Linked DNA regions of Rattus norvegicus. The protein of the gene in region 2 purifies or fractionates together with the protein of the main gene of each other region. This does not show direct contact. Links are inferred from orthologs where the notes say so. Each region holds a gene or a part of one and is shown on either strand. Other genes may lie near its edges. The genes, in order: Thoc1, Ddx39a and Api5.

The links.
Region 1: the proteins of Ddx39a (region 2) and Thoc1 purify together in Homo sapiens (affinity purification with mass spectrometry; 3 studies listed by BioGRID and IntAct, with this or other methods). This does not show direct contact. The link is inferred for Rattus norvegicus from reciprocal best matches to the Homo sapiens genes DDX39A and THOC1.
Region 3: the proteins of Ddx39a (region 2) and Api5 fractionate together in Homo sapiens (co-fractionation; 3 studies listed by BioGRID, with this or other methods). This does not show direct contact. The link is inferred for Rattus norvegicus from reciprocal best matches to the Homo sapiens genes DDX39A and API5.

Annotation. Positions count from the first base shown.
Region 1 is NC_086036.1:1,289,951-1,292,505, forward strand, and holds the end of Thoc1 (THO complex subunit 1), read left to right. Parts: intron 1-258; coding exon 259-334; intron 335-688; coding exon 689-984; 3' UTR 985-2,006; downstream 2,007-2,555. UniProt on the Homo sapiens protein: Component of the THO subcomplex of the TREX complex which is thought to couple mRNA transcription, processing and nuclear export, and which specifically associates with spliced mRNA and not with unspliced pre-mRNA.
Region 2 is NC_086037.1:41,328,622-41,332,377, forward strand, and holds the start of Ddx39a (ATP-dependent RNA helicase DDX39A), read right to left. Parts: upstream 2,793-3,756; 5' UTR 2,494-2,792; exon of another isoform or gene 1-2,493. UniProt on the Homo sapiens protein: Helicase that plays an essential role in mRNA export and is involved in multiple steps in RNA metabolism including alternative splicing. Regulates nuclear mRNA export to the cytoplasm through association with ECD.
Region 3 is NC_086021.1:100,848,490-100,852,145, reverse strand, and holds part of Api5 (apoptosis inhibitor 5), read left to right. Parts: intron 1-2,856; coding exon 2,857-3,018; intron 3,019-3,656. UniProt on the Homo sapiens protein: Antiapoptotic factor that may have a role in protein assembly. Negatively regulates ACIN1. By binding to ACIN1, it suppresses ACIN1 cleavage from CASP3 and ACIN1-mediated DNA fragmentation. Also known to efficiently suppress E2F1-induced apoptosis.

The DNA.
Region 1 (2,555 bases), on a different chromosome or scaffold from region 2:
CTTTACTAGTGTTTTACTGTCTTTTGTCAAAAGCAGGATCTAAGAGTAACAGAAGGTCACCTGGCAGAGCCTTCCCCACTGTTTCCTTACAGTATGGTAATGGTGGACATGGTCAATCCCTGTCACCCCTTAGACAGAACTGCCTTAAAGCTTAGGTGTTTGCAAACCTGCCTGCCCATGCTTCTCACTCTTTCTACCTAAGATCTTTTATCTTCAGAAACTGAAGTTCTTTTAAACATTGTTCTTCATTTACTATAGCCCCCTTCTGAAGAAATAAAAACAGGTGAGGATGAAGATGAGGAAGATAATGATGCTTTACTAAAGGAAAATGAAAGTAAGAATTGAATTTTTTTGGCTGTTTTACAAAATTGGAAAAGACTGGGGGATCTTTGTTATTTAATTTGATTTACTTCTCAGTTCTACCATTTTATCTTACTTTTGACTTAAAATAAGTTAAAAACATTGGTCACTTAAAGTCCATTTTATAGAATGAAATTTGGAGATGATAATTTTAAAAGGCAAAGAAGATGGGTGCTTTAAAAGGATGTATACAGTCTATGGAAATTTTCAAGTTTTAAAGTTTTAGGGGATTAGTAACCCACTGGTAATTCTAGCTTTGCTGTTCTTTCCGATATTTTAAATGCACATCTCTATATTTTGCACATAATTTATATCCCCTGTTTTCTAGGTCCTGATGTTCGGCGAGATAAACCTCTAACAGGGGAACAGATAGAGTCATTTGCCAACAAACTTGGTGAGCAGTGGAAGATTTTGGCTCCTTACCTGGAAATTAAAGACTCTGACATTAGGCAGATTGAATGTGACAGTGAGGACATGAAGATGAGAGCCAAACAGCTCCTTGTTGCCTGGCAAGATCAAGAAGGAGTTCACGCAACAACTGATAACCTGATTGGTGCACTGAACAAGTCTGGGTTAAGTGACCTTGCAGAAAGTCTAACTAATGACACTGAAACAAACAGTTAGCTTTCTTTCTTTCTCTCCTTTTTTATTGAACAGTGATTAAGATTTTGTTACCAAGCAGCATTTGATAAAAGGTTCACTGGTTTTGGTAAACAATAAACACTTTTATAACAGCTGTTGTACAGTTAGCTGGTGCTCAAAAAACCACATACCGAACAGGCATTGGAGTATAGGAGGACAGGGTGGGAAAATGGCCAAAGTAAAAGGACCACAAGATCACAGACGACTTTTTGTAAGTATTTTTATAATGAAGTTAAATGAGTACTATTTATGAGTATGTTAGAGTCCTGTCCCAAATTAGTTTCCTGCATGCTATCAGTTATAAAATGTATTCTGAAATCACAAGATGACACTTCTGAAACCTTAGGACTGGAAAGCTGGAAAGCAGAGGATTGGCAAAGGATGGATAGTTTAAGTGTTTTACTGGCAGTCTGCCATGTTTACTCTACTACAGCAAGAGTCCAGACTGATAGCCAGGGGCCCTGCAAACCATTTGCTGTTTGGCCAATACAGAAAATGTTTGCTAGCCTCTAACTTTATGTGAAGTGGAGTCTAAGACCCAACTACTCCTTTAGCTTTATAAAGATTACTTGACATCCTCAAGTCTCTAAACACCCAGGGATTCCTGTCAGTTGACTTGTGAAAATACACTGTATGTAGCAGAGCATGTGCGGTGCTGGCTGAAGGTTCATGTTCTGTTCCCATACAACATTTCCTGTGGGTGTTTGGTGTCTGGTGAAGGTTAAAAGTGTCCTTGCCTGGACCATGCACACTCCACTAGCTGGGGAAGCAGTGGCTGCGCACAGCTCCAGCTTCCTGGTACCCTCTGCACTAAGCAAATTAAGGCATGCTCAGGAACTGAAAGGGAGAATGGATTTTTTGCCTCTTCTCTCTTACATTCAAGGATGCATTCTAAAATACTAAACACCTTATTTAAAACAACACTGGAAATCCAATTTCTACTTTAAAGAATTCTCTTTGGAATGCTTTTCTAGGTCAAATAAACTATCGAGAAGCTTTTTGTATAATAGTTTTTAATTCTCAGTGCACTCTAAACATGGTTTTGGTGTATTTGTTGTAAACCCACCTCACCTGGTTTAGTGGGAAAACACAGGTGCCAAGTTACTTCCTTCTCCAACTAGCCAATGAGACTGAGTAAAACCATTACAGTACACATTCCATGTAAGTTAGCAAACTTTACAAACCTGAAATGCTGGCTTACCCACAGTGTTACAGAGTTATTATCTAATAAAAATCTTGGGTACTTTACAGAGCATTAGAACATATAGTCCAAAATGTCATAATATTCCCAAAATTTTATTATTAATCAACTCAAATCGACCAACTTGCTACAATATTCAACATTTGGTCCTTTCCTTAGATTGCTAAGGAAATTAAGGTTCCTGAAACATAAACAACAGGTATGTGAGGTAATGAAACTGATCACAGAATTCAGTGTCCAAAGGAATTCATCACTTTTACAACTTTGTGTTTCTTTTGAAATAACACTGGCCAACCTAAAGTTTCTTGTATTTTAAATGGATGTTTAACTGCTTAGATTATTAGCTATTTGC
Region 2 (3,756 bases):
CCAGTCAGGCCTACCTAGCCACTTCTCACAGAGAAGTGACCACGCTGGCCCCAAGTTGAAGTGACCTTTTGTTTTTTTCTTTAAAATCAGAACAGCTTTACTAAAACAGTCATAAGCTATACAACTCACCAGTCAAAGTACACAATTCAGGAGTCACAAACACGCTCGCACAATCAACTCTAACATAGTTCACCACCTTTAAAAAAAGAAAACCTTCTGGATAGCCTGAAGAGATGGCTGATTAAGAGCACATTTTCATTCAGAGCACCGAGGTTCAATTATTCCCAGCATCCACATGATGGTTCACAACTGTCCATAACTCCAGTTCCAATGAGACCCAAAGTCCTCTTCTGACCTTCTGACCATGAAGCATGCCCTTTGAATATAAATGCATTCAGACAAAACACATAAGCAAAATAAATAAATCTAAAAAAAAAAAAAAAAAAAAAAAAGGCCCCTGGCCTGGGGTGTGGCTCAGCCACAAATGCCTAGCATGTGAAAAACCCTGAACTCCACACCCAAACCCACAAAGCCTGCAGCCATTGCCTAACTCCCAGAAACAATCTGTTTCTGGTCTCTGCAGACTAGCCTTTTCTGAGCATTTTCTATAAATAGGTTCAGACAGCATTACCTGGCCTTTTCCTTTCTGATTCCTTCAATCTACCATTCTCAACACTCACCCACAATGCAATGGAAATAAATGCTGCATTCCCTTTATAGCCAAACAATATGAGATCATGTGAATTGAACCCTGGTGCTCTGAAAGATCATGTGCTCTTAATCGGTCTCTCTCTAGCCCACCAGAAGGTTTTCTTTCTTTCTCTTTTTTTCGGAGCTGGGGACCAAAAGGTTTTCTTTTTTTTTTTTCTTGGCTCTTTTTTTCGGAGCTGGGGACCGAACCCAGGGCCTTGCGCTTCCTAGGTAAGCGCTCTACCACTGAGCTAAATCCCCAGCCCCAAGGTTTTCTTTTTTAAAGGGCTTATGTTTCAGTTGATTGTACTGATGCCACAGGATGTAAAAATGCATATACTATCACATGATGTCATTTGGATTAACACTGTTTTGTCTGTATTACACCAACAGCCTACTCCATGTCCACTGACCCTATGCACTACACAACTCTCACAGCAGACAGAGGGGGCATACTCCAGCTAAATCATATCTGGCTTGTCACTGTGTTGTGAGTCCCCCAAATCCACATAGCGAAGAAAACTGACAAATTGTCCTCTGATCAACATGCACACACCCCTACACAGACACAAAGTAAAAAAATGCTTTAACTAGGTATTAAAGCTCTACACCCCAGCAAAGGTTTAAAGCAGAGACAGCTAGGACAGCTAGGAGAGGACAGGAGAGCTGGACAGGCCCAGGGCCTGTGTAGCTAAATTGCTAAGTCGTGGAGAACTGCTAAGTAGGCTTGGAATTGAGTGATTCATTAAGAATTTGCTCAAGTGGAGATAAGAACGGCAGCAGGGAGAAACCAGTCCTCTGAAAGGTGATCAGCTGTGGGGGGAGCTGAAGTAGAGAGGAGATGCCGAAGAGCTCAAAGCCATTCCTGAGGAGAAAAGAATCACACTTGAATGGCCTAGATGTACTACCTATTTTTATTTGAAATTGGGTCTCCTGCAGCCCCTCAAACTTGCTATGTAGCTGAGGCTAGTCTTGAATTCCAGATCCTGTCTCTAGTTCCCAAATGCTAGAATATATTAAAAAAATTTTTTTAAATGCCTGAGACAGGGACAGGCAGAACTCTGAGTTCCAGGCCAGCCAGGGCTACATAGTGAGAGATCTTGTCTCAATAACAACAACAAAAACCTTAGAAGTTAAGTTCTAAGACTGGCCAGGCAAGGGGGTGCTTTAAAAGTGCTTAATGATGGGGTTGGGGATTTAGCTCAGCGGTAGAACGCTTGCCTAGCGAGCGCAAGGCCCTGGGTTCGGTCCCCAGCTCCGAAAAAAAGAAAAAAGAAAAAAAAAAAAGAGTGCTTAATGCTCTTTCAGAAGACCTGAGTTAGGTTTCTCAGTTCACAACAACCCTCTAACTCCAGGGACAGTACTTCCGGTATCCAAGAGCACCTGCACACCACAGGTGTTCATTCACATAAATATGCCTAAATAAAAAACGACAAGGACAGCCTCGATTTCAGGAGAACTTATCTTAGGGCCTCTCAGATGTGTACTCTGTTTTTAGGCAGTATTGTTTAAAAAACACTTCTTATTGTGCTGGTTAAAAGATAAATGTGAAGCCCGGCATAGTGGCACCCGCCTTTAATACCAGCGTTCCGGGAACCGAGGCTTGTGGATCTCGGTAAGTTCGAGCCCGACCTGGTCTTCAGAGAAAGTTCAAGAACGGCCAGAATTATGTAAAGAGATCCTGTCTCAAGAAACGAGATACACAAAAGGTTCCGAGGTGCACCTCGGAATGTATGCCTCCAAATACGTCAGGCCTTCGTTCAATCAGGAAAATGAAATAACTGAACCCAGGCTGTCACAGACCTAAAGTTTCAAACAGGCCCAGGAAGACGAGATGCAACTGGCTGAACCGGCCTCACACCGGGAAAACGACACCCGGTGAATGGCCTAAGGGCCGCCACACCGGCTTTCCGCTTCGGAGTCTGGAGGTGAATCTCCTGGGAGAGCGGCGGAGCAAGACGGGAAGCAGGTGAGTGCAGACTCGGGGCATCTGCCCAGAAAGCCTGGGTCCTCTCCCCGCGACCGAAAACGCAGCCTGGAGCCGCCCCGTGCCTCAAACCCACCACAGTACACATGCGGGCCTCCGAGAGCCGCCATGACACCGATCCCGGAAGCCAACGCACTAACGGCCGGCCCGCCCCTGGCGCATGCTTACTGGAACCCAACGGCCGCCGTCTCCAGTGGGGTGCCTAACCGTCCCGCCGCCGCGCGCGCCCACTTTTCCCACTGCACCGCGCTCCGCGGCGTCCCTTTCGGCGAACCCACAGCCCCGCACCGCAGCCCGGGCCTCGGGACCCGCCACTTACCTGTTGCCCGGTTCGCCTCCGCGAGCTGCGAAGAGAGCCACCCGTACACGCCGCGCCCCTGGACGCGAGCTACAACGCTTCCTTCCTTGAGCCCAACTCTGGTCTTGCTCACTGGACAGCTGGTTTATCACTCAACAGAGGAGGAAATGATGGTTGGATTATAAGGACGCTGTCGGCCGGCTATTGGTGAAAAGGGTGAAAGAGGGCGTACCTAGAGCTTCGTGTTCATTGGGCAGTCGTAGAGTGGGCGTGTCCGAGGGGGGAGTGGACCAATCAGCGATCCCGCTCAGTCACGTGCGATGAATTGAGGGCCTGAGTGGACGCTGCCACATTTAGTACTGGCAACCGCACCTTAGTCGCTCTTGTATGTGCCCCACCCTTTTAAAGTGTCCCTTTCCTGCTGGTGTAGAACCCCTGACTCTTTTGTTTGGTTGTACCTTTTCGAGATAGAGTTTCTCTGAGTACCTCTGCTGTCCGGGAATTCCTCCATCTGTGACCAGGCTGGCCTCAAACTCAGAGATCTGCCTGCCTCTTCCTCCGTGTGATTAAAGGTGTGAGCGCTGTGATTAAAGGTGTGCTGTGCCTGTGTGCTATGTGCTACTGCACCTACGGAAGCCCTGGCTCCCACATTTCAATCCACTGACTCACCTGCAGAAGCTCAGAAAGGGCTTTGAGGATGGAGAGATTGAAACTAAAAGAGTAATTTGGTTTGTTCACATAAACAAAAGCTGCTACTTTGGTAAAAGTCTTAATCTTACGT
Region 3 (3,656 bases), on a different chromosome or scaffold from region 2:
CCCTTCCCATTCTATGATAGGATTTTGATGGCCCAGCCTTGTGCACACGATGGCAGTTGCTGAGAATTGCAGAGCACTTCACTCCGTCTTCTAGAACTTGTATTCTTTCTACCTTCCCTTCTGTGATGTTCCCTGAGCCTGGGAGATAACTCATCTCCCATGTACTGCTGAGTGTTCAGCAGTCATTTATTCACAGTATTTGACCACATAAGAATCTCTGCTGTTGCTCTTCTCCATTGTAAACAGAAGCTTCTCTGAGCAGTGCCGACAGCGCAGCGCTAACCTACACAGTAAGTATAATTACTTAGGCAGAAATTTGATGAACACGTGTCCATTTAGCAAAATAATAACTGTAGTTTACCCTGTTTGGCCCTATGACCTTCCTTCCCAGCCATAGGATTCAGACCAGGTTCACAGTACCAGCTATGAATTCCATCCTAGGGAGCCAGCCTCAGTTCTAGTCAGAAAGCAGTTAGTTACATACATAACAGATTCACCACTGTTTCTCCAGTGGGGATATCTTGCCTACTGTGTCAAGGGTTCACAACTGATGTGACTGTTGATGACAAGCCTCCCTCTACATCCTGCAGACTCTTTAGCACTCTAAGGACTGGCCAGCAGGAAGGAAGCTTCCAGGCTTATCCTGATTTCTTTATGGCCTGCAACCAAAACATGTGGTCTTATCAGCAGTAAGGCCTTACCACCTAGTTCTGGTGAGCAGTCAACCACAGTGGCAATTATCTGTTGTGTTCAGGGAACTTTAGAGGCTTCCCTGAACAACAGTTCATAGGGAAGGAGCTCACCTTTGGCACTTGGGTTTTTATTTAATTACTTGTATCTTTTAGGGATCTCCAGAAGATACCTCTGCTCAAACTTATTTCTAAATTAGCTTACCAATTACCAGACTCCCTTAGGCTTTTTCATACATCCTTGGTTTTAGTTAAACTCGCTCATCCCCGCTCTCCCCTCTTCCCTATCTCTGTGCCCCACTTCCACATCACATGTTCTATGCCCTCATATACACAGTTTTTTAGGAGAATACATTGATGAAAATGGCTCAAATTGTACCTTACATTTTTCTTGAAGGTATACCTTTAAAGAATTTAGAGTTGTGTTTTATTAATTATTGAAAACATACCAAAACATGATTTTAGAAATGCATCAAAGTATTGATGAGGTGGTTCAGGGGCTCACTTTTTGCTCTTGCCAAGGGAGGACCCTGGTTTAATTCCCAGCACCCGTATGGCTCACAACTATCTTGTTACTCTAGATCTGCTTTTCTGGCCTCTGTGGACACACCACACCACACACATACACACACACACACACACACACACACACACACACACACACACAGAGTATTTACAGTTAATGCTTCTGATACTGTTTTGAGACAGTGTCTCATTGTGTAACTGGCTGGCTAAAACTCACTGTGTTGACACTATGAACTCACGTGGAGCTAACAGCCATGCTGGAAGAGGAATGGGCCGAGCAATGCACTGTTTCTAATATTTTATGCTGGGGATGGTCTGACCTACCACTAAGTCACTGACTGCTGAAGATACTACTTCTGTTTTATTTTCTACATTGGTGACAAGTAGAGGGCTGAAGAGATGTCGGTGCTGGTAAAGAGCCACCCGTACAAGGCCCTGAGCTCAGATACTTAGCACAAACATAAAAGCTCAGCATAGTGGCTTGAGTCTTACCCAGAGCCTGAGCGTTTGGGAGGTGGAAACTGGTGGTCCTTGGAGCTTATTGGCTAGCCTGTCTGTGAGCCCTGGGATCAGCAGGAAGTAATAGAAGGTGGATGACTCAGCAGTTAAGAGCTCCCATTGCTCTTGCAGAGGACCCAGGTTTGGTTCTAGCACCCACATGAGTCAGGCAGCTCACAAGCACCTGTAAAAGTAAGTTCAGCTCCAGGAGATCCCATGCTATCTTCTGACCTCTGCAGTCACCCCACACACATAGCACACACAAACAAAGATGTACACACATATACTTAAGTAAAAATCCATAGCTAAGAAATAAGGTGGAGAGTAGTAGAGGAAGACACCCAATATCATCACCCTCTCCTGTGTGTGTGTGTGCGTTCGTGCGTGCGTGCGTGTGGTTTTGTGTGTGTGTGGTATTGTGTGTATGTGTGTGTATTTCTGACAACATGATCAGTGTCATTTAATGAATGAACCAGCTTGGAGGTAGCTTGTGAGGAGGACTGGGAACTTGTTGAGACTTTATCCAGTTTGAGAGCACTTAAGAATTTATTTGATGGAAACAAGTGGGCTTTAGTGTATTCTCATGTGCGGTGTTAGAATTTGTCTTAATCCAAAATTGACTGGCTATACAATTTGCCACTGCTTTCACATTCTAAAATGAAAGATGAAATTAAACTTTCCTAGAATTATTTAATTTCAGAAATGTGTTCCTTTCACCTTCCATAAAATACTAATTAGAGGCAGGGTCCTGTGGGTGGGAGGCAGGGTGAGACAAGGTCTTGCGTTGCAGCTCAGGCTGTCTTCACACTTACTACCTTCCGCCTTAGCCTCTGGAATGCTAGCATTTCAAGTGTGGGCCACGGCACCTGGCCACAGGTACCTTTTTCTTTTTTGTAAGTAAATGTAACATAACTTTGAAGAGTCTACAGTGTGTCTCCATTTTTAAAGCATGACACTCTCATGGCCTGGACTTAAACTTAGGATCATATTTCTCTTTCCCAGCTGATGTAAAATGGAATGGGCAATAGGGAATAGAGAAAGTAAAAAAGTTGTGTCCAGTTTAAGTAGTAAAACTAGTGTTTATAAACATCTGAAGCATTTGTGCATGTGTGATACATGTTGTTCCTTTTCTTCTTCTTTCCAGCATAAAGATGCCTACCAAGTGATATTGGATGGTGTGAAAGGCGGGACCAAGGAAAAGCGATTAGCAGCTCAGTTTATACCAAAATTCTTTAAGCATTTTCCAGAGCTGGCTGATTCTGCTATCAACGCACAGTTAGACCTCTGTGAGGATGAAGATGTGTCAGTAAGTTTTTGACTGACATTTAAGTAAGCTTTCTATTATCTATGTAAAAGTGACATGATCAAAATAGCAATCATCTCAGTCTATAGTCTCTGTCATTCTATGGTCACATTGTGTCAGACCCAGAGTGAATGCTACAACTGAGAAAACACCAACTGTCACCTTGTAGTTATGAAAAATATGTGGAGTAATAATTATTTATTTTGTTTTTTCATTATCCACTGCTGAAAATGGAATGTATCCAACATCTTTTTGAGATAGTTCCCAGTTCATATGAAATTAGATTGTTAATACAGTTTTTGTACCTTACAAATTTATTATATATGTCATAAGAATAGTTGGTCACTGTATTACCTGTAGCTGATTACCAGATTAAGAATAAAGCCTTTTGGGTTGGGGATTTAGCTCAGTGGTAGAGCACTTGCCTAGCAAGCGCAAGGCCCTGGGTTCGGTCCCCAGCTCCGAAAAAAAGAAAAAAGAAAAAAAATAATAATAAAGCCTTTTCCTATGGTGCAGAATTAACATTTGGCATTGCTAGTTACTTGTGAGGCTTCTAAGGTTTTTTTGGCTATTAGCTCTTATCTTCCTATATGAAATGAGTGAATTACTACCATCTCATGCAGTTTGCTAGATGGAAACTG